Linked DNA regions of Lepisosteus oculatus. The protein of the gene in region 1 interacts with the protein of each later gene in a biochemical or structural test. Links are inferred from orthologs where the notes say so. Each region holds a gene or a part of one and is shown in the gene's direction. Other genes may lie near its edges.

Evidence for each region. The genes of interacting proteins can lie anywhere in the genome.
Region 2: the proteins of mapk8ip3 (region 1) and mapk10 form a complex in vitro, tested with the Homo sapiens proteins (3 studies listed by BioGRID, with this or other methods). The link is inferred for Lepisosteus oculatus from reciprocal best matches to the Homo sapiens genes MAPK8IP3 and MAPK10.

The regions. Positions count from the first base shown.
Region 1 is NC_090714.1:4,140,439-4,150,936, reverse strand, and holds the start of mapk8ip3 (C-Jun-amino-terminal kinase-interacting protein 3), read left to right. Parts: upstream 1-5,716; 5' UTR 5,717-6,747; coding exon 6,748-7,053; intron 7,054-10,498. Other genes in the region: mfsd1l (lysosomal dipeptide transporter MFSD1), read right to left, coding at 203-258, 982-1,106, 2,151-2,251, 3,628-3,649.
Region 2 is NC_090698.1:19,459,749-19,470,143, forward strand, and holds the start of mapk10 (mitogen-activated protein kinase 10), read left to right. Parts: upstream 1-5,624; 5' UTR 5,625-5,625; coding exon 5,626-5,643; intron 5,644-10,395. UniProt on the Homo sapiens protein: Serine/threonine-protein kinase involved in various processes such as neuronal proliferation, differentiation, migration and programmed cell death.

The DNA.
Region 1 (10,498 bases):
TTTTTGGAACCATTTAACTGAGGTTTATGAGTAGATGTTAACCCTTCACAAAAGCTATGGAAAGGTGTGAAAGTATAGAGAAATAACAGCAAACCACAGCACAGAGTCTGGGGACCCCTGCTCTACAGTCTGTTCTGTGTGTGCTGGGACCCTTTTGCTTAATAAGAGCAGTACGCATGCAGAGCTTCAGTGCATCACTCACAGCGGTTTCCCAGCTTGTCGATGAGGAAGCCAGCCAGGATCACCACCACTGCATTGCTGTGAAAGACAAACAAGGGAGGTGCCATTACAACAGTGTCTGCAGAAACAGTGAAAACAGCAGAGGAAGTGCTTTTAGCAAAAAGCCAGGCTTTATTAACATTTCTGTAATGCCTCCCAGCCTTTAAAAGTGTTACACAGCCTAGTTACACAGCCCCCAGGAAAGAGTATTTCCAACAACTGTGATAAACCGATCATTTTCAGCTCCCAATTTCAAAGCCTAAAGAATATTCTGTTCAAATTACTCTAGATTTCGGCATCTCTGTTATTATGTAAGGGAAAGGAGCAAGGACAAAATATGAATGTTACCCAGATCCCATATTTTAAAGGACTTTAAAGGACTTTAAATGAAACTATGCAAAAGAAATAAAACTAATTCTATATCTACGAGTTTATACTTCTCCTTTCACCATAAAAAGTGCTTCACTGACATAAGGCAGTTTAATTTTAGAAACCCTTCAATGGAATTGTATGACACATTAGGTTAACTGAAAGACGTTTTCGAAATCTTTTTTTTTTAATAAAAATGCTTTAGCTAAAAAGATGGTGCTTTGCAATATATCATATTACCAAGTTATTAAACAAAATAGCAGAATACTGCAGAGGGAGAGAGCTATGGTTCATTGGACTCTAGTAGCTTAAAAAGACAAACTAACACAGTGTTCTGCTATGTGCCATCTTGATGGGTGCGAGTCAGCATGACCGCAGGGGTGCGAGACTCACGTCCAGGCGTAGATGGCGTAGAGAAGGTTGTATTCCTGGGGAGTCATCCCCAACCCCTCCACACACTCTCCGGTCCCATCAGGAGCTGAGCCGTTCGCTACCATTGCATTAGGACACGTCAGGTTCTGAGCAGAGGAAACAGCTGGTGAAATTTCAAGTCCAAGGCATGTCCCTAGCTGATCAGCCAGCACGTTTGAAGACATCTGTAGTGACAAGCCACCTGGAGCTACCCTTGAGCTGCCTGTCCTCCGTACACAGAATGAAGCAAGGACTCAAACTGTCAAGACACTTAATTCAACAAGTCCTACATGATCTGCTTCAGACAATCCCGGAGCACCAGGTTATTTCCCAACAGTAACAATTCTTGCATTTCTTGCTCTTTTATCCCAAAAGAGCCCAAAGTGCTTTACGTGTAAGAGCCTACCCCCTTCATCAGTCACTGAAGTGCAGCCCCACTTGTCAGCGACCTGTGACAGTCATTGTGTGCCAACCCCACCCCCCTGCACATCAGGACAAGGAAAGAAGTGAAAAATTACTTCAGGAATCGAATTCAGAGAGAAGTCTAGGTAGGACAGCCCCGGCTAGCTGGCAGAGCATCAGACTCATAATCTCGGGGTAGTGGGTTCGTGTCTCACGTCGGGCGCCCGGTCCTCCATGTTGGAGGTTGGGCACAAGGCTAACAACCCTGTCCCATAAAAAACAAATGTTACAGTAACAGCAACAGGATTTGCTGGAAGGCATAACAGGCAAACATCCATCCATCCATCTAGGTAGGACAGATTGTGCAAATCAGAAGTGGGGATTAGTCAGCACACCAGGGTTAATGCCCTTACTCTTACAAACAGTTCCACAGGACTGGTAATGACCTGAGTCAGACCTTAGTCAAACCAGCTGACAAGGTGGCAACATTGCCATAGTCTCGCTGGAGGACAAGAGCATGTCACACACGTGACACGCATGACCACAGCAGCTTCGGTGACCATCTCTGTCCACGTAGGGTGCAAACGAAGGGCCAGCAGCCGCCTTCTCTAAATCGCACAGGACCGGGGGGAAAAAAAGCGTTTAAATTCAGATGGGAGAACCTCATTTGCTCGGTGACGTCGGAAGGCTAGGCGATCGCACCAGAGCCCAGGGTCGGTCAGTCTCTGGCCTACTGCTCACTCACTCACCCCCTGGAACTGGTCCTGCAAGACACTGGGGATGTCGAAGCAGAAGTAGGAGCCGAACGTCAGCAGGCAGTTGAAGAACAGCACCAGGAATCTGTAAAATGCTGCAAAAAGAAATGTGGCGTCACAACTCCAGGTAGCAATTAAGGCCGTAAGGCCACAAACCTTTTTTTTTTGCGTTCCCCGTTTTTATTGCTGCTCTTAATTAAAAGTTAAGAATGGTCAGAACCTCAAGAAAAAGTGAAAGACGTATCAGTATCGCACTATTACTGACAGCGAACACATTGCTGTAAATACTGCACACTGCACCATGTAGCAGTGACATTTAGCAAATATACAAATAGGGTTCCTGAGCAACACCTGTGAAAACTGAACATCTGCCTTTTGCTGTAATTTACATGGGGAAGGCTAATTTGTTTCAGTTTGCAAGCTGATGCATCTTTTTTCCCCCTAAATTTGCTTTCAGCCCTCAGGCCAAATGCGAATTGTAATGGATAGTAGCTCTACAATAGCAAGGGGCAGTTGCCTGCCACTCACTCTCAAGAGCAGCCCAGGCAAAATAAAAGAAGAAAATTAAGAGGTGGCTGTATAGAATTTTGTACAATCTGCATGAAGCAGAGTATTTGAAACCACCACAGGTAAGAAAGTGTCTTCTTTACCTGATGTTTGTGAACAAACAGATCAATTAAAGGGATACCTCCAGCGGCCAGGGGCTCACCTGGATTAAACACCACGGGGATACCCCATCAGTGTCCCCCTGATCACATTCAGAAGGCGTAGCGCCCTCTGGTGAGTACTGTCCTGAAAAGAATCCATTCCATTTACTTTTGTAAACTAGGTCTGAACTCAGGCAGCTGCTTAATTCCACATGACACCCACCTCCCAACGCTATAGAGTGTTTCTAAAAAGAACAGAGCGCTTACAAACGAGAGTAAAAAAACCAAAATGTAACAAAGATAAAACCCAGCATCTCCGCTTTCGTCAAAGAAGTCCCACGCATCGCTAAGGGACATACAAAACAACATCTGCGCTGTGCAAAAAGTAAAGGGAGCGAATTTGTAACGTGTTTCCAGTTTAGAGACAATTTCTATTTCTGAAGCTGGGGATACAGTTGGAGATTTGGAATTGCGCTGAAGAACACAACAGATATTTTAATTTTTAAAAAAGCAAAGTGTTTCTAAAATGCTTCGGAAATCTTTGTAGCGATGGGGGTAGACCCAGCAGGGGCAAACATTCACTGTAGCTCAGGCGTTAGGAATCGAGAGGAAAAATATTCCTGTTAGCATGAAAAAGAGACTTTACAGACGCGAAGCTAGTAGACTTTGACTTTCACCATTATTTTTAAATCATCCGGGAAAAGAAACATTAGCAATTCCCAGATGCAACCACATCTGGGGATTGCTACCAGCGTTTCCGATTACCCTAAATCACCCGGTGCTCTTGACCCGTATGTTTAAAAAACGCGACCAACTTTACTGACCTTTTTCCGCCGGCTTGCCCATGATAAACAACTGCAGGTCCAAGCTGTACCTGTGTAACTGATCAGCTGCTCATTCTCCCCTCTGCCTCCCAGTTCAGATCGCACCTGCTCATGTGCCTGACGTCACGCCGTGCACATCACTTTAAAGACAGAGGGTTGCATTTTGGCTAGCTGCACAATCCTCACGATCTCATCGGTGTGCCCGGAGATACAGACCCCCACTAACATAACTAAACACACTCGCCTGATAGGTTTCACGTGATTTTTGAAGCCTGCCTTTCTTCCTGTAAAAGCCTACAGGATGTCTCTAAAAAATGCATTAGCTCTGCTTTCGCGAAGTCATTACAAGTCGTGCCTCTCTGTTTCTTTCTTCCAGTTACATGATGTAATTCCACTTATTTCGGCAGGGCGCTGTTCTTCATACTGTATTTCTGATGCAACTTTATGAGCGGTAGATCAACCAACCACTCATTCCACAGAAACTTTCATTCAAAACAGGTGAAGGAAGCCAACAAATACGGGAGCCAAGAGCTACGAAACAACAGAGCTACCCCCCACCTCTTCACGACCCTATAGCTCAGGTTCCCTTCCTGAGGGATAATCAGTGTTTTGGGCACTGCCTTTATTTCGGGTCCCAGAGAACATAAAAACATTAACAATATTACTTGTAACTGAAACAAAGCTTACCCACGTAAATGAAAATGTAAATGAAAATGAACATTACCAGTTGTGCCGCTGCATAAGAAGAAATGTATCCACATTCCTAGATAATATTACGAAACTCGAACATCACTGAATATGATAGTGTGATAAACTCTGAAGATTTTACCAGAATTAAACGTTGTGTAGAGCAAATTAACCGTTACCAACCTGTAAATAAAGAATATTAAGAAGGTTATAGAGAATATAGAGAAGGTTAGCTCTCGTTTATTTAAAGAGCGCGACATACAAACCGCTCTTCTGTGATTCCCGAATTGTATTTGATGCTGACCAACATCTACAACAAGATGGATTTTTTCCTGCAGTTTAGATAAGCACTGCAGCTGACTTGAGGCTGCGATCTGCGTCGTGCTCCCTGTTCTACAGAGACGAGAAATTCAGATCTTGTGGCAAAGGTGCTGCAGCCGAGCTCACTTTGACCATATTTGAGGCGAACTCTTAAATTCAATAAACTGAAGTTCAAATGTGAATGTGGATTATACTACCTTGAACCCGTTTCACTATTTTTGAAGCAAAAACGATTTTGTCACCGTTATATATATGAATATGTTCACGAACAGCAGTGGAAATTAAAATCGTTTTTTTAATGTTTTAACCCTTTCATTTCAGAAACATTCAAACGTGATGAACGCTAACAAGTGCTCTCTTTTGCTATGGCGTGTCCAGTACTTGATGTGTTTTAGACAATACAGGCGTGGTCTTCATAAATGTTCCATGAGATAGCCGGGTTTTAACAGCACTGTCCCGTATTATTTTAATTATATTTTAATTATAACCTGGAGGGAACAGGACCGTTTTTTGTTCAATATTGCAGGAAAAAAACGTTGGTCGAGAGACGAGGTTTTACGTTGTTGCACATTTACCAAGAGGTGAAAATACAGGGCGTGTCATGAGCCGTGAATTGGCAGGGAATTGTACTGAAGGGAAAGTGTAGTGGGCACCACTGCCATTTTATCTACTTTAATTTTGTATATTGTATAGCATCTTTCGACGAGAAGGGAACATCATAGGTGTATTACATGTCCCTCAGAACGCTAAAGCAACGCAGATTTTGTGTTCACTGTTTGAGACGTTATTTGCTGTTTCTGTTGTCGGTTAGAGATAGCAGTCCGAGCAGTTCGTGATGTGCACGTTTAGGCATGAATTCGTCTCTGGGGCTCCTCATCTCAGAAGACATATATAGGATAGATGGAGTGGACTGTATCTTTGCCAGGGCGAAAATAAAGAACATTGCGTTGTTGTTGTTGTTGTTGTTAAAGCAGAAATAAAAATGAGCTGCTAATCGATTCCATTCCCTCTCTTCACTGGTCACTGCTTTTGCTGTGTGACGCAGCACGTTGGCGAAGCCCACCGAGCCCTCTTGCTACCAGGGGATGGGTCCGCGCAGCGACCGTGAGCACCGCAGACAACAGTGACCGCTCTGGCCGGCTGGGGGGCTGCGGGCTGGGGAAAACGCGCTCTCACGCCGGCCGTGACTGCGCGGCGAGGACGAGACATCCCGGCTCGGCCGGAGCCTGCTCGCTGCAGACGGCGTGACGTCAGCCGCCTCGCTCAGCCTGGGAGGATCCCGACAGCGCCGCAGAAAACGGCATCGCCTAACCCGGTCCAACCCGGGGAAGCGGACTGGAGCCGGACTGGACCAAAATATGATTTAAAGGGGAAAGAGGGAGGCAGGGGAGGGAGCACGCAGGGAACGGCGGCTTTCAGCTGATTTCATGCGTGTCATCAGTGCTCGCAGCGATGACTGGACTGCGTGGTTGCTGACCGGCAGGTGCATTGTGAGGCACGTTTATTTATTATTTTAATTAGAAGCCTCGTTTTTTTTTTGCGTTCCGTTTTAACCTTGTTTTTCCTGTCCGGGAAAAAAACAACAACAAAATGGGCAGAAACAAACTGCACCGCTTTCGCCTGGAAAGGGATGCGGGCTTCGCCGAGAGCAAGACGCGACCGGGAACCATCTAGAAGCCCCCATCCAGGCCGCCGCGCCGGGCGACACGGGGAACAGGGAGAGTCCTGGCCCCTGCATGCGTTCAACTACAGCGACAGAAATATCGGGTTTTAGCCGGCGGAAACGATGCGCGTCGCCCTGGTCTCGGAATTCAGGGGCTGAAAAAAAAAAAGCGGATTTCGGGACCTGCAGAGCATCACCTGAGCCACTGAAAGCGAACGCGTCTGCGTCGCTCCCAGCCCGATAAAGACTGGAACGAAAAAAGGCGAAATATATTTAGACGGGCGAATGACATTTTGGGGCTTGAATTAAAAAAAAAACACCGGTATATCACATTAAATTCCTCTATATTTGAGGGTTTTGTTTTTTTCTCCCCCGGAACTGCGCTGGTGGTGGTCGTGGTGGTGGAGTAGGGGGGGCGTCCGCCCGTGTTATCGGAGCCTCTTGCCAAGATGATGGAGATCTCGCTCGACGAGGTGGTCTACCAGGATGACTACGGCTCGGTGTCGGTCATGTCGGACCGGGTCTCCGGCCTGGCCAACAGCATCTACCGCGAGTTCGAGCGCCTCATCCGCAGCTACGACGAGGAGGTGGTCAAGGAGCTGATGCCGCTGGTGGTCAACGTGCTGGAGAACCTGGACTCCGTGCTGACCGAGAACCAGGAGCACGAAGTGGAGCTGGAGCTGCTGAAGGAGGACAACGAGCAGCTGCTCACCCAGTACGAGAGGGAGAAGGCGCTGCGCAAACAGGCGGAGGAGGTGCGGTAGACCGGCACTGGCTCCCCGTGTTGCCGTAATTACACCTGGAAAGAGCACCGCCTTTCAGATAGCCCACCGCACTTTGACATCACTGCATGTGTGCGGGCCCTTGATCCGCATAGATGCCGTTATTGCTGAGGTATCTTTAAAAAAAAATGGTCTCTCACGACTGCTGGCTGATGAGCAGCGTTCGAGTGAGTCATTCAATTAACGCCCACATCGGTAACGGCTTATTCTACTAACTTGGTCAGTATCTTTAGGGTTCCGGTCATTTTCTTCCAAAGTGTACTGTCATCGCCTTGTAGTCAATGCACAGACCCGCAGTCATAGGTTGGGAAATGTATTTATTTAGGAGTTTCTTATACACCCGAGCGATTCGCTGACCTATGTTTAAAAAACCCCCATCGATTATAACTTTTCAAATGTACTTCACTGCGCACGTCAACAGACGCCCGAGGCTCACCTAACCCCGAGCTTCTTGGGCCCTGGCTAAAAACCGCTTTCAAGCAAAAGAAAAACAAGTTTGTGAACCCTAGCATCTTTGTGTTTTTTTTTTCTCGGTTGTAGCAATTACAGTACGTTATCTTCCAAATTACAGCCTACCCTTTCACTCCATCTTCATTTTCTGTCCTAAACTTAGGGGAAAAAAAGGAAGATTAAAACTAACACGCCTGAAATTGAAGGTGATCATAGGGATTTGGTAGAGACAGTGTGGAGTATAGGTGACAGGCAGACAAACGGTCACTGCGACATATTTACATTACACAAGACAGCTTTCTGGGATGCTGGTTTAAATGTGAAATGGCTTTAAATGTTTCACCTGGGTCTGATAGAGGGAGCGACTGTTTAAAAATGTACCTAGATATCTAGTAAGCAGCTGGTGGTAAGTGGTCAATTGCTAAAATGAGGGATAAAGACAGACCTCCACTACGTTTTCTTATCACTTGTATGCTATCTTTCTATTCCCGTGTACTGCTGCTAAACGGATTCATAAAGAGGTTGCACGCAGGCGTAAACACAGCTACTCCCAGTCAGGTTAAGGGGATGCGTTGCCGTATTTCTAACCTCAGGCTGCTAGACTATTTCTATTTCATGATCATCTTGTCACCACAAGATGGTATCTTGTCCAGGAGCTGCTAAATCATGTTTTAATCAGCTCAGTTATCATCTTCTCTGTGATAATTAGGCTTTCTGCTCTTTTTTTGGGGGGGGCAAGATCTGGAGAAGCGTGCTCAAAAGCCGTGAGATAATTATATTAATATAAAGACTTGCCCCATAGTAGTTTCTTAAATGTATAGCCAAGACGCGACCCCTTGAAACGCAACAATTGTATAGCGACGAGGGTGCGTCTGTGAGCTTTAGTCACGACGATACAGCTGCTGTAGTTCAGACACTGGGCGTATCAAAACGTCTCTTGCTTTTCTCCGCCGGTTGAAAAACGTGTTCGAATTGCCGCCTGTATCAGCTGACAACTTTCAAAGACGCATTTTCATATTATGACGCCTGTCTTATTTTAAGGTTATGACGTGAACGTCTGTTATCAGGTTGCATCCAAACATCTAGGTTATCTTCTGTTTGGATTTGAATATGTTGGGTTTGGTTTGTCCGAATTCTTTCCGTTTCTCTATTGCTGCTGAATGTTGCATTTTTACTTGTAGTGGGAAAGTAACGTTATATTAAGGACATAGGTGCAGAAATGGACAGGAGCAGCGTTTATTCGTCTTTAGCATGACGATTCCACGCCACCTGATTACCTAGTGCTTTGTGTGGTAAATTGTGCTTTCCGATTCGTCATCTTTACATCTTGAACGTTAAAGTCTAAACGAGGTTTGTAATACGTTTAAGACAGTTGAACGTATTGAAAAATATTGTGAAGTTTCAGCTGCCGTGTTTGAAAGCGAGTTCTTTTAAGCCCTTTAATGAGAGTTGGGTTGCCAAGCGACCTTTTAAAAAACTGTTTGGCACTCCGCTCATGGTAATGGCTCTATTAAGCCTGGTGATTCTAATTAGTTTCTATTGTGATGGACACAGTCATGCTGTCGGTTTTACTCATTTGGAGCTGTAGCTGTGGGAGTACAGTACATGAAACATACTGTGCATGCATTATTAATTTATCTGGCTGAAGCCATTTACATTTGGGTACAGCTGGGCATTTTACTGGAGCAATCAGAGCTGAACCTTGTTCAGGAGTCTAAAAGCAGTATCCTACCTGGGATTTGAATTCCAAACCCTCCAGTTATAACACTGGGATCTGCACTACAAACCAGCTACTGAGTCGTGGTTTATTCCCTCTAGTGGAATTTAAAATCAGTCACGTATTGGCTTGGCTGGTTTCAGACCTGCACATGTCTGCACATTCTTCATTTCCCACCTGCGCCAGGTGAGAAAGAGCCTCGGGCGGCTGGGGGGTTCGTGCTGTCGGCCGAGGCTGCTCAGGCAGCAGGCCCAGGTGCTGGTGACAAGCCACCTGCCAGTGGTGACAAGGAACACAGGCAAGCCTGGCTTGTTGACCACTGGCATCGGCGTTGACGTACTGTGGTGGGAAATTCCGAATAACAGAATACGAACTTTCCATACCTGGGCTATTTTGCCATTATTGGCACAGGGGATGTTTCTCTTTTTAAAAAAGAGAGCCCTCACCAACCGCCCCAGATATAAACATTAAATCGCACCGAAGTTTGGGAATGTTGGACACTAATTAAGGCAGCATGGTGGTTCAGTGGTTCAGCCCTGGGACCATAGGTTCAATTCTGGCCCTGGGTTGCTCCCTGTGTGGACTTTGTATCTTCTCGCCATGCGTACACGGGTTTCCTGCCTCGGTCCAAAGGCGTGCTGGTAGGTTAATTGGCTTCTGGGAAAACTGGCCCTGGCGTGAGCGTGTCTGTCCCGTCAAGGCATGGTGTTCCCCTCCTTGCGCCTGTTGCTTGCTGGGATAAGAAAAGAATGACACAATAATTTTCTGAACCACTCTGATTTGCAACCCGAAATATGTAGTCCAAAATGATACGTGTGGAGATGCAGAGGAAAAGATGAACTGCTTTATTTTAACATGATTAAATGGGGCGGAGCGATAGCTCTGCACCTGTGGCTGGAAGGTTGCCGGTTCAAATCCCACGGCCCATAGAATCCTACTCCATTGGGCCCCTGAGCAAAGGCCCTTAACCCCAGCTGCTCCAGGGGTGGCGTATTAATGTCCTCTGACCCCAGTCTTCTCTCTTCCCACCTTTGTGTCTCATGGAGAGCAGGCTGGAGTATACAAAAAGATAAATTCCTAATGCATGGCTAATAAAGTGATCTTATCTTATTTTTTTTCCGCCTGTTAGAAAGTGAGCCACACTACAGGCAGAGAATAAGGTGAAAGTTTTCATTTTCAGCCATGCTGAACCCCAAAACCCTAATTTGGAGTCTCCTACTCCCGCTACACGCTTTATTTCCTCCATGTAAA
Region 2 (10,395 bases), on another chromosome or scaffold:
GTCCCAGATGGCATTGGTCTTGGTGAAATCCATGATGTAACCCAGGAAATGTATCTTAGAAACTTGAAAAATGCATTTCTCCATCTTGGCATAGAGATTGTTCTGTATAAGGCGATTAAGAACCTCTCAGAAGTGGATAATGTGCTCCTGAAGGTCACTGGAGAAAATTAAGATGTCATCCAAATAGATCAACACGAATCTATGCAATATATCCTGGAAAATGTAATTCATGAAATTTTGAAAAATGGCCAGAGTGTTGACTAAACCGAAGGGCATGACCTGATATTCATAATGGCCATGGGTGGTAATAAAAGCCGATTTCCATTCGTCTCCCTCGCGGATGTGGATGAGATTATATGTGCCGCGAAAAGCTAATTTAGAACAAAATGGTAGCACCCTGGACAGATTCTAAGGCAGCACGAATAGGAGGTAGGGGATAGTGATTCTTTACAGTAATAGCATTGAGACCGCGGTAATCTACACACGGTCTCAAAGATCCGTCCTTCTTCTCAACAAAAAAGAAGTTGGCACAAGCAGGAGAAGAGAAGAGATGGATAAAAGCTGATTTCAGAGTATCCTGGATGTAAGTTGGATAGGTGCTTTGGATTCTTGTAAAGAGAGCGGTAGATGCGCCCCCTGGGTGGTAAGGTTCCCGGGATTAACTCAATGAAACAATATAAGGTTGATGGGGGAGAAGGGAGAGTGCCTTTTGTTTACAAAAAGCCAGCTGTAGATCAGAGTAAGTGGGGGGAATAGAGAAGGAATCTTCCTTGGCGATGAGGGCAACAGAAAGTTTCTGAGGGAGTTGACAACAATGTTTAAGGCAACGAGGTCCCCAGGCTGTGATATCATGGTGAGACCAGGAGATATGAGAATTGTGTGCTTGTAACTAGGGGTAACCAAGAATGAGCGGAAGCAATGGTGATTGGAGGAGGAGAAACCAGATCTCTTCCTTGTGAGTACTGTAGCTCCAATATGAAGAGATTGAGGAATTGTCTTCCATCGAATGAGACCAGGAGACAGGGATGATCCATTAAGAATCTGGAGGCAAATGAGAGCATAGGCCGGCTGCAGGGGAATCTTCAGTGAAGAGGCGAGTCCAAGTTCCCCATGGCACCTAAATCAATGAAAGCCGGAAGAAATTTCTTGTATTTGCCCCAGGAAAGAGTTGTTGGGAGGTAGAGCACGGATGCAGAAGAAAAATTAGAAAGGGTACTGACCATGGTGGATGGAGATGAGGTGATTCCTCAAAATGCGGGGAGAGGTGGTTGTGAGAATTTGGTGACGTTTAATTGTATGCGTTCAGTTTGTGACTATGTTAAACCTACTTTTAGCCTAAACAGTAATTTATGTGTTCATGTCAATGAAGAATGAAACACAGCTGGTAATGAACCAGAAAATATGGACAGAAAAATGGCAGCAACTGCTGCCACAGTCTCCAGAAAGGAGCCAGAGGTGAGAGCATGCAGGGTGGATGATAGCCATCACCGTTGTAGGTGTGATATGGCTTCCTTGAGTGAAAGACTCCAGGTCATACTGTACCTGATTGTGATTCAGTCTTCAAAGAACTGGAAGAAGGCAGTGAGGAGATATGATGCTTTTCTGGTCTTATTCTATGGTTAGCTTGTTGCTTAAGATGATGTTGCCTTTTAGTTGCACTTAAAAATGTTTTTTCCCCATTGCCTTTTAAAGAGGGAAATTTGTGATTTTTTAATATATGTATTTTCTGAAGTTTTTAACAAAATGGCACAACTAAGTGTTGAGATTTTCAGCTCTCAAATATAGTTAGATTTGAAAAATATGATTTGCACAAACAACAACCCCTTTTTTTGCAATTTCTTACAGGAATGCCCAGAATTAAATAGTCATTAAGAATATCAGAGCAAAAACGGTGTCTTCAAAGGAGGACATTCCTTTATTGCATCTGGCACTATAATTCCTTGTATAAAATGATCTTTTCCTTTTGGTTTGTGTTTGAAGTTCAATAAATTGATAAAAGGCAAGAGTTGTAAACCTGAGAATGTAATCTAGAAAACATTTTGCCTAAATTTAAGAATTGTACTGCTTGGTTTAAATCCTGTGTAGTGAAAAATCATGTTAACATATAGTAATGAATCATCATTGTATCAGATATTCAAGTCCATGCTGTTTTTCTAGTGGCTATACTGTACCACCTTAAACCGTTCTCTTAAATCTCTTCTTTCAGCTGCTGAGCAATGTTGGGCCTGTGCATGAGAAGATCCAAAGCAATGCCCCATAGTGTTGACATGGATTACTGTGTTCTAAGAAATGTGTTTTCTTTGGATGATGTGTTAAACTGAAATCCAGTCCTCACTGTTAGCAGTACAGATCCCAAGGTACTCTTTAAAAGAGTAAGATGTTAACCCCAATGTCACTATCGACAGTGGTACTGTAGATCACGGATGCTGGCCTATTTGAAGTTGATCTATTAATAAAACTTTCAGTTGGATCTTGATCTCTTCTCTCAGGCATTGTTATAGTCAGGATGTAGTTGGTGTGCTGCTTTCATATCCACTTGATTGTATGACAGTTGGTTCATGTGCAACTATGTTTAATGACAAAGTGCATTAGGACCCTGGTTGTGATGAAAGGTCCTGTCTACAGTACGTATTAAAATACACTGTATACTGTATATATATATTTATTTCTGGATGAAAACTGTGAATTTGAAATTCCACTTTTATAATTATTTTTTGTGTTACTTTACATTTTATGATATGGTCAAGTTTTTATATTTGTAAGTTTGATTCTCCAAAATTAATTCCATTCTCAGGGCTTTTGTGCTCAAACTACAGAAGCAGGATAACAAAGTGAATGCCAGTAGTAAAATATTTATGAGGTTAACTGAGAAGGAAAGAGGGTGAAGTATCGTAAAGATGTTTTTAAATTGATGGAGGGTTTGGAACAATCTGCATTTTCTTGGTTAGATGCTCCCATGATTAATGAAGCATCATTAATTTAATTTAATTTTTATATATCAAACACTGGCTTAAAAACGTCTGCAGTGGTATATGTGATTAAAATGCCCTCATTTCCAGCATGTGCAATGCAACAGATTGTACTTGTCTCAGCGTCATTGAGCATTATTTTATATTTGTAGAAAGCTACTTGTTTTGAAGTAAAAACAGTGACTACATAATCTTCTGAAAGAAAGTGTTTTGTACAGGACAGGTCCTAATTGAATTAGAAATACAGTATGGTAATACTTCTGTCTTTACAGCTTCACCACAGAAGGGGCTTCCAATTTAAACAGGTTTTCCATTTAGAATTAAATTAAAAATACAGTTAGTAGCCTTTGTGTTTGAAGGCATTGAGGTCACTCTTAATCCTTGGAGGACAGTGTCTAGTTAAAATATAAGTGTAAAGTAGAGGTTCTGGATTTTAATAAATTTGGTACATCTCGGTGTAGGTGCTTGGATACAATTATTTGAATATTTTGTAAGTCGTTGACAGCTGTAAGGTTTTATAAAAGTGTCAAGGGGTATTAAAATGGAGGGAAAACAGAAAAACTAAACCTTTAAGTTTGCCCTGATTGACAGTATGTGGATCCATATACATGTTTACTGTTAGAGGATAACTATTTTTCCCCACTACAATTCTTCTAAATCTGTCAACATGTTTATAAAATCCAACAGATAAAAATGGGTACATGAAGATAAATTAATCTTGACAGACAGCTCAATAAAAGGTGACAACTTTGTTGCAGTGAACAGGGCGATCTTGAGGACATCTGTCAGCCCTGTACAGGGGTGTTACAGTACATGCAGCACCAGTGAAACAATATGTGAACAGACATGCTGGTCCTATAGATTTTAAGAATTCTTTGTTTATTGGTCTCATTCCTTCTGTGACAGCACTTGAAATAATAAAATAAATTATCACAATATTGCATTTATAGTATGTTTTAAGCTCTCAATTCTTAAAAAAATCTATTCTGTGTTAATATATGCCATTCCATCTGTTTGGATTGGCTTTCTGGATTTTTAAAATCTGTTGAAAAGCTTTGAAAGATTATGCTGCTCATCAGACATACATGTATAGAATTAGGCCTACTAATGGGAATGATGACTAATCTTTATGTAGGGCTGTTCAGCTTATGGTTATTGTGCTTTGTCAATATGTAGTAACATTAACGCATTGTCTGATCTGTTTATGTGTGAATTGGTTCTAATACAAACATTCTTTGATATAATGCAATTTGACCTTTTTGTGTTTTAGCAATAAATCATTCAGTGATAAGACCTCTGTTCTTTGTTTGCTTTATGTTACTGTAATTGTTATTGGTTTACTTAGACCGAAACTATATAACAAAGTAGATCATACAGTATCTGATGTGAAAGTGGACCACACCTCCCACTGCACTCCCCACTCTGCGGCGTGTGGGAATGCACAGCTATCACACTGGAAGCTAATCAAGACTGCGCTTTAACCCCCACGCGCCTGCAGACGGGGTTCATCATAGAACTGAATGTGTTCCCCTCACCGGCGACACAAACATTTACTCTGATCCACAAAAGGATTCTCACCTTTACTAGAGAACAGAACATTGGCAGACGGTTACACACCGGCACACCGCACAGAAAACAACAAGCGCTCTGCCGGTGCTCAGGCAGCTTCCTATTACATCCGACACTATCACACTGAGGACAATCAAATGTCTTTATTTCCCACTTTTAAGTGTCAGTTCTGGAGCAGTACCACCGGCTAAATCTAAGTGTTTCCTCAAAAAGGTTTTTTATTGTAAGATCACATTTTTGTACGGGAGTTATACAATTATACAGTAGTTGCACTGTATTGAGGTATTCTGTAACAATAAACTACAAAACTACAAAAAGTACAAAAGCCTAGACAGACCCAAGGAGACATTAGTAAAGGACAAGCATGAAAACCAACTACACCTCTTTGGTAACACTTGGGATTAAGTTGTATAAAATGTTTAAATAGATATTCTATTCATAAGCATGTCAGATGATTGTCGGTTCCCTAGAATGTGAACAACGTACTCATAGATACACTGTATTGATTATGCTACCCTGAACTCTGACCATAGCACTAATCCTAACCCTGACACTAGTCTTAATTGAAACTCATCTCCACTGAATATCTATTGATTTTTGTTAACGTTCTATAGCACCCTGAGTTTTAAGATTTGAATGTGCATTAAATCTTTATTCATCCATTTTAGCCTAAAGCATGACCATCTATGGTCCCTTAAAAGAGTTAAAATAGCTCTTTTAACAGCTTGGATTTATTTGGGTGGGAGGTACTGCCCAGCTCACATACTGTAGCTGTGCTCATTTGCTCTGCTCTCAAGTTAATATTCAGAGCTTTTTGTATAAAAGAGCATACAAAGAAAGAAAAAAAAGCCCATGTACATTTTTAAGTGGATGGTTAAAGGACATACAAATGATTCAATCTGTATTTTGACTTTAATGTTTTTGTTACTAAGTGTTTTCAAGCTCAACACTTAAAATTCAGCATTGTTTCAAAGTTTTCATGAAATGGCTGTGTGTAACACAATGTTTCCTATTTAGCAAGAAAACAGGAAAAGGTCTGACAGGAATACACCATTTTGTTGGCACAGCATCAAGAGTGTAATAAATAATGGAGCTACAGGATGAGGTAGTTAAATTGTTGTTTCTAGATCTATCTTGTATAGAGTACTATTCCTTTCCTTAAAATTGCTTAAATTTATCACTTGCCTTCTTTAACATTATTTATTGAATATTATACTCCATAATGGGCTCTGTTTTTGTGATCCCTTATAAAATGTCTACCTTAAATTTAAAAGATTTTAATTGCCATGAACTCTAAAGAAAGAGGATAGACACCTGTTTGTATGCTATCATTTTCATACAGTACATCCATGTTATGAAGAGAGCTAACCAAATCCACAGACCAATCTCTACAGTTGAATTTCACAATCATTTTATAGTTATTTAAGATATTTCATTGCTGTTTGAAGAGCAAGTCTGTTGAAAGTCAATTAAAATGAAAAATTAGTCCGATGAGTTCAAATCTCATTAATCGTGAATGAATCAGACAAAGGGCACATCAAGTAGCTCTCCTGATGTAGCTACTCATCTTTGACAAGCTGAACAGGATTGGTAAACTTAACTTTCACTTCTAAAAATGTAAACTGAAAAGATATTTTTAGTGAAGGCACATTAACTGAAAGGTTTTTGGTATGTATGTATTATTTTTATATACATTAAAGTTACTGTATATTTTCTTTACATTCATACCATGATTATTTAGTGAGTACTGTAAACTTTGGCAATAGAAGTGTTATATGCAGGTGTACTGTAAATTAAAAGAAATATGCAACCATTTAATTTATTTTAATTCCCTGGACATTGTTTTCCTTTTCTTATAAACTAATATTAAATACAGTGACCAACTTAATTTAAATTGTAATTATTTATTTAAAAGTTGTTTCTGTATTTAATCTTAGTATATTGTTACAGTATATATTTGCAGCTCTGTAAACTACACAATAATATAGCTTTTGGTCTGCTCCACCTGGAATTAATGTCTGCAGATTTTCTAAGATGAAAAAAGCTGGCTGTTTACATCAATAGAATATGCTCAAAGATTCACGCTGTACTGCACTTGTATATGATATATAGATTATATTTTGTTTTGCTGCAGGGCGTGACTATTCAGAAAAAAATATCTAACACTTTTCCTTATTGTTATTAATATGCAGTTCATGAAATACATTGCTTGTAAATCAGGTTCAGCTTTACAGTGGCTGGGATGAATAAACAGCATTTGCAGTAGTCAGCCTTTATACTTGTTTAATCCATCAAAACATTTGATATTTTATTCTCAATACTTGCTGTTTCTTATTAATAACCTTATTTATATTAATCTACTGTAAGTTTTAGTTTTTTCTTTTGTGTGTGATCTGCATTTAAAATGCTTATACATATTACACACCCTATGGAACACAGACAATTTTGAGAAAGGAAGTCTATGAAAAGGCTTTTACTTTTAACCCATATTCTTTTATCACCTACTTAACTTCATCAAGGTCCCTGTGTGATCTTGAAAGCCTGGAAAATATGAAACTTTGCAGCCCCAGAAAAGTTGTCCTAGAAAATGTAATGGAAAATAAATAACTTATTTTTAATTTACAGACCTACAGAAGTGTTGAGCAGACAATTATGTACTTAAACACTCGGGAAACATAGTTAATATTTTATTTTTTGTATATTGTGGTTATTTGAAAAGTGAAAAATTCATTCGGATCAAAATAAGCTCAATTATTGTACAAAAATGCTGATTTCACTTAGAAATGTACGGACAATTATTCTAGTGAAATTGAATCCAGAGAACCCTGCTTATTTTTGATTGTTGCCGAGATAGAAAAAGCCATTAAGACAGTCACCAGCCCTGATCAATGTCCGTTTTATTTCACCTGGTCCTGCTCTGTATTATAAGTAAGTATTACATCATACTGTATGTATTATTAAGTACCCAGCTGATGGTACTTCCCTTCGGGAGTGTCTTCCTTTGTACCTCATGTAAATCATTAGACACTGTCAGCTGCACTTTTGCTATTTGTAGCCATCCTGGAAGAATACCAGTGAATTTAGTGTAATTTCATATCTAAGTGTCTTTAAGACCAGACAAAGTGTCTAGGTTAGGATGTGAATGAACAGGTATTCAATTCAGTTGTTTTCCCTGATGGGGCTGGAACAAGGTGTTGTTTAGTAGGACTGGGCTACTGTTCAAACAATCAGACACATGGCAGGTTGTAGGTTTTGTGGTTGGAGATGGAGGGAAAGTCTAATATGGGAGATGAGCAAGGATATTTTTTTTGCTGAATAATGTTTCCTCTCTGCAAGTAGCGAGAATATCTTGAAGTGGCAAGAGTATGTGGTAAGAGCAAAAAGAGCCAATAAATGTATTCTGCCAGAGTTTGACATATTTGTAGTCAGTTCCATCCCCTTCATTCAGCAGACTCAATTTTACTGTGGTTTTGAGCTGAATGTTTTGCAGGTTCTACCAGTTTTCAATTGGATTGAGATGTACTATAGGGCATTTTTCTACTTGGAGAAGTTGAGAGAAATCTGTCTCATGGTTCTCATGTCAATAACAATAACAGGTCAGTAATATCACCCTGCAACAGGTTAGCAGCCATATCACCCTGCAACTCACAACTGGCAACCCACTGAAGCTAAGCAGGCGTGAGCCTGGTCAGTACCTGGATGGGAGACCTCCTGGGAAAAACTAAGGTTGCTGCTGGAAGAGGTGTTAGTGGGGCCAGCAGGGGGCGCTCACCCTGCGGTCCATGTGGGTCCTAATGCCCCAGTATAGTGACGGGGACACTATACTGTAAACAGGCGCCGTCCTTCGGATGAGACGTAAAACCGAGGTCCTGACTCTCTGTGGTCATTAAAAATCCCAGGGCGCTTCTCGAAAAGATGTCCTGGCCAAATTTCCCCCCCCTGGCCTTTACCCCATCATGGCCTCCTAATAATCCCCCTCTATGAATTGGCTTCATTACTCTGCTCTCCTCCCCACTGATAGCTGGTGTGTGGTGAGCGTTCTGGCGCACTATGGCTGCCGTCGCATCATCCAGGTGGATGCTGCACATTGGTGGTGGTGGAGGGGAGTCCCCATTACCTGTAAAGCGCTTTGAGTGGAGTGTCCAGAAAAGCGCTATATAAGTGTAAGCAATTATTATTATTATTATTATTAGTAACACAAAAGACCACTCAGAGGGCTTGCTCATTTGACTGAGGTAAATATTTTGGCTATTAATTCTTCTATGCACTCCTATTTCATTTTTGCGCTCATAATCACAATATAGACATTGTCCATGGCATGAAAATACGGTAGTGTGTAACGTCCCAGTGTGTGTTCTGTGTGTTTTTTCTGTTATGTCCACACTGCTGACCCTTGATTGTTCTCCCTTCCCCATTGGCCAAACATCACACCACTGTTTCAATATGATGTCATCACCAATCAGCCCTCAGCCAATCAGAACTCATTTTATTCTCTATTTAACATGGAGGCTTTCAGGCAGAAAAGGCCTTTCGTTTGACTTTGGTCCCGTTTGGTTTTGGTTATCGCTTTGCTTCGCTTCTGGTTATTGCTTTGGCTTCGTTTGTTGGTTTGTTTTGCTTTGTGTGTGTGTGTGTATTTTCGTATATCTTCGGCTTTGTTGTTTTGCTGGTTTTATGTTAGTTTCTTTGCACTTTCGTTTGTTTGTGTGTTCATCCTTGTTTTGTCATTACCTTGCCCCAGTGTTACAGTACATGTTCAACTTTTGTGTTCTTTTGTACCCTGCTCCTATTGATTATTTGTATTCCTGGTTCACTTGTGTTTTTGTGTGAACTTTTGTATATAAGGTTAGTTTAGGTTGTTGGGTACACTTACACACTTAGTTGATTTTGTATTAGTACACTAGTTTAGTACGGGTGAGTGCCATTTGTCTTGTATGGTTTTGGGTAGTCAGTGCAGGTTAGCTAGGGTTTTGAAGACGCAGAAGTTTGTGTTTCAGGTTTTCTTTTGTAGTCAGATTAGCTTTCCCTCACTGTCCTAGCCAGCTCCATTTTGTTTGTTATTTTCTTTCCTTTGGCACCACTCTAGTTCCTTACCCTTCTCACGCTTCCTAGTCCCTCACCAAAACCCACCTGCTTCCAAAAGAATTATCCTAAATGTTACACCCCTTTACCCCTAGACACTTGGGGTAGTAACATAGTGCTTGAAGCTTTGGAAGTCCTCATGATTGTTAATTAGTCCTGATTAATAACTCATTCTAACAAGTTGCTGAACTAATGGCATCCTTGGCATATGATACAATATAATGCTAGTTTCAGGCAGTATCAATTGAGTGACTAGACCCTATCAAAATGACATTTATTTCATATTTATATCCTAAACCTGTACTGTAATAAAAGCATCAAAAGACACGCAGACAGCTTTCAATGTTCCTTAAGTATACTAATTGTGCACCATTACAGTCAGAACAATTAGTTTTGTCACTTAACACTTTCAATCATATTGATTTGAAAGAACTAGAAGAGCTGTTCTAAACAGTATGTGAAAGCCTTTGACAAGTCAAAATGCCACAGTTCTTAAAATGTTCAAAATAAAAGACTTGAAAGGTTAGAAGATAAAAAAATGCATCACTTTTTCTTAAAAGACTGTTTTGTCTCCTTTTTTTAATACCATTGAAGTCATTCAGCAATTCATATTTAAAAAAAAAAACTGTGTGACTCATTTGAAACAGTTATGAAGGTGTATGAATAGTACAATGGAAATGTGCAGTACTTCCTGTGCTGTTTGAGCAACTAAATGTATATATTTTTTTTGGTGTTAGGAATTGTTCAGTACATAATTTATACAGTCTAATCCCTG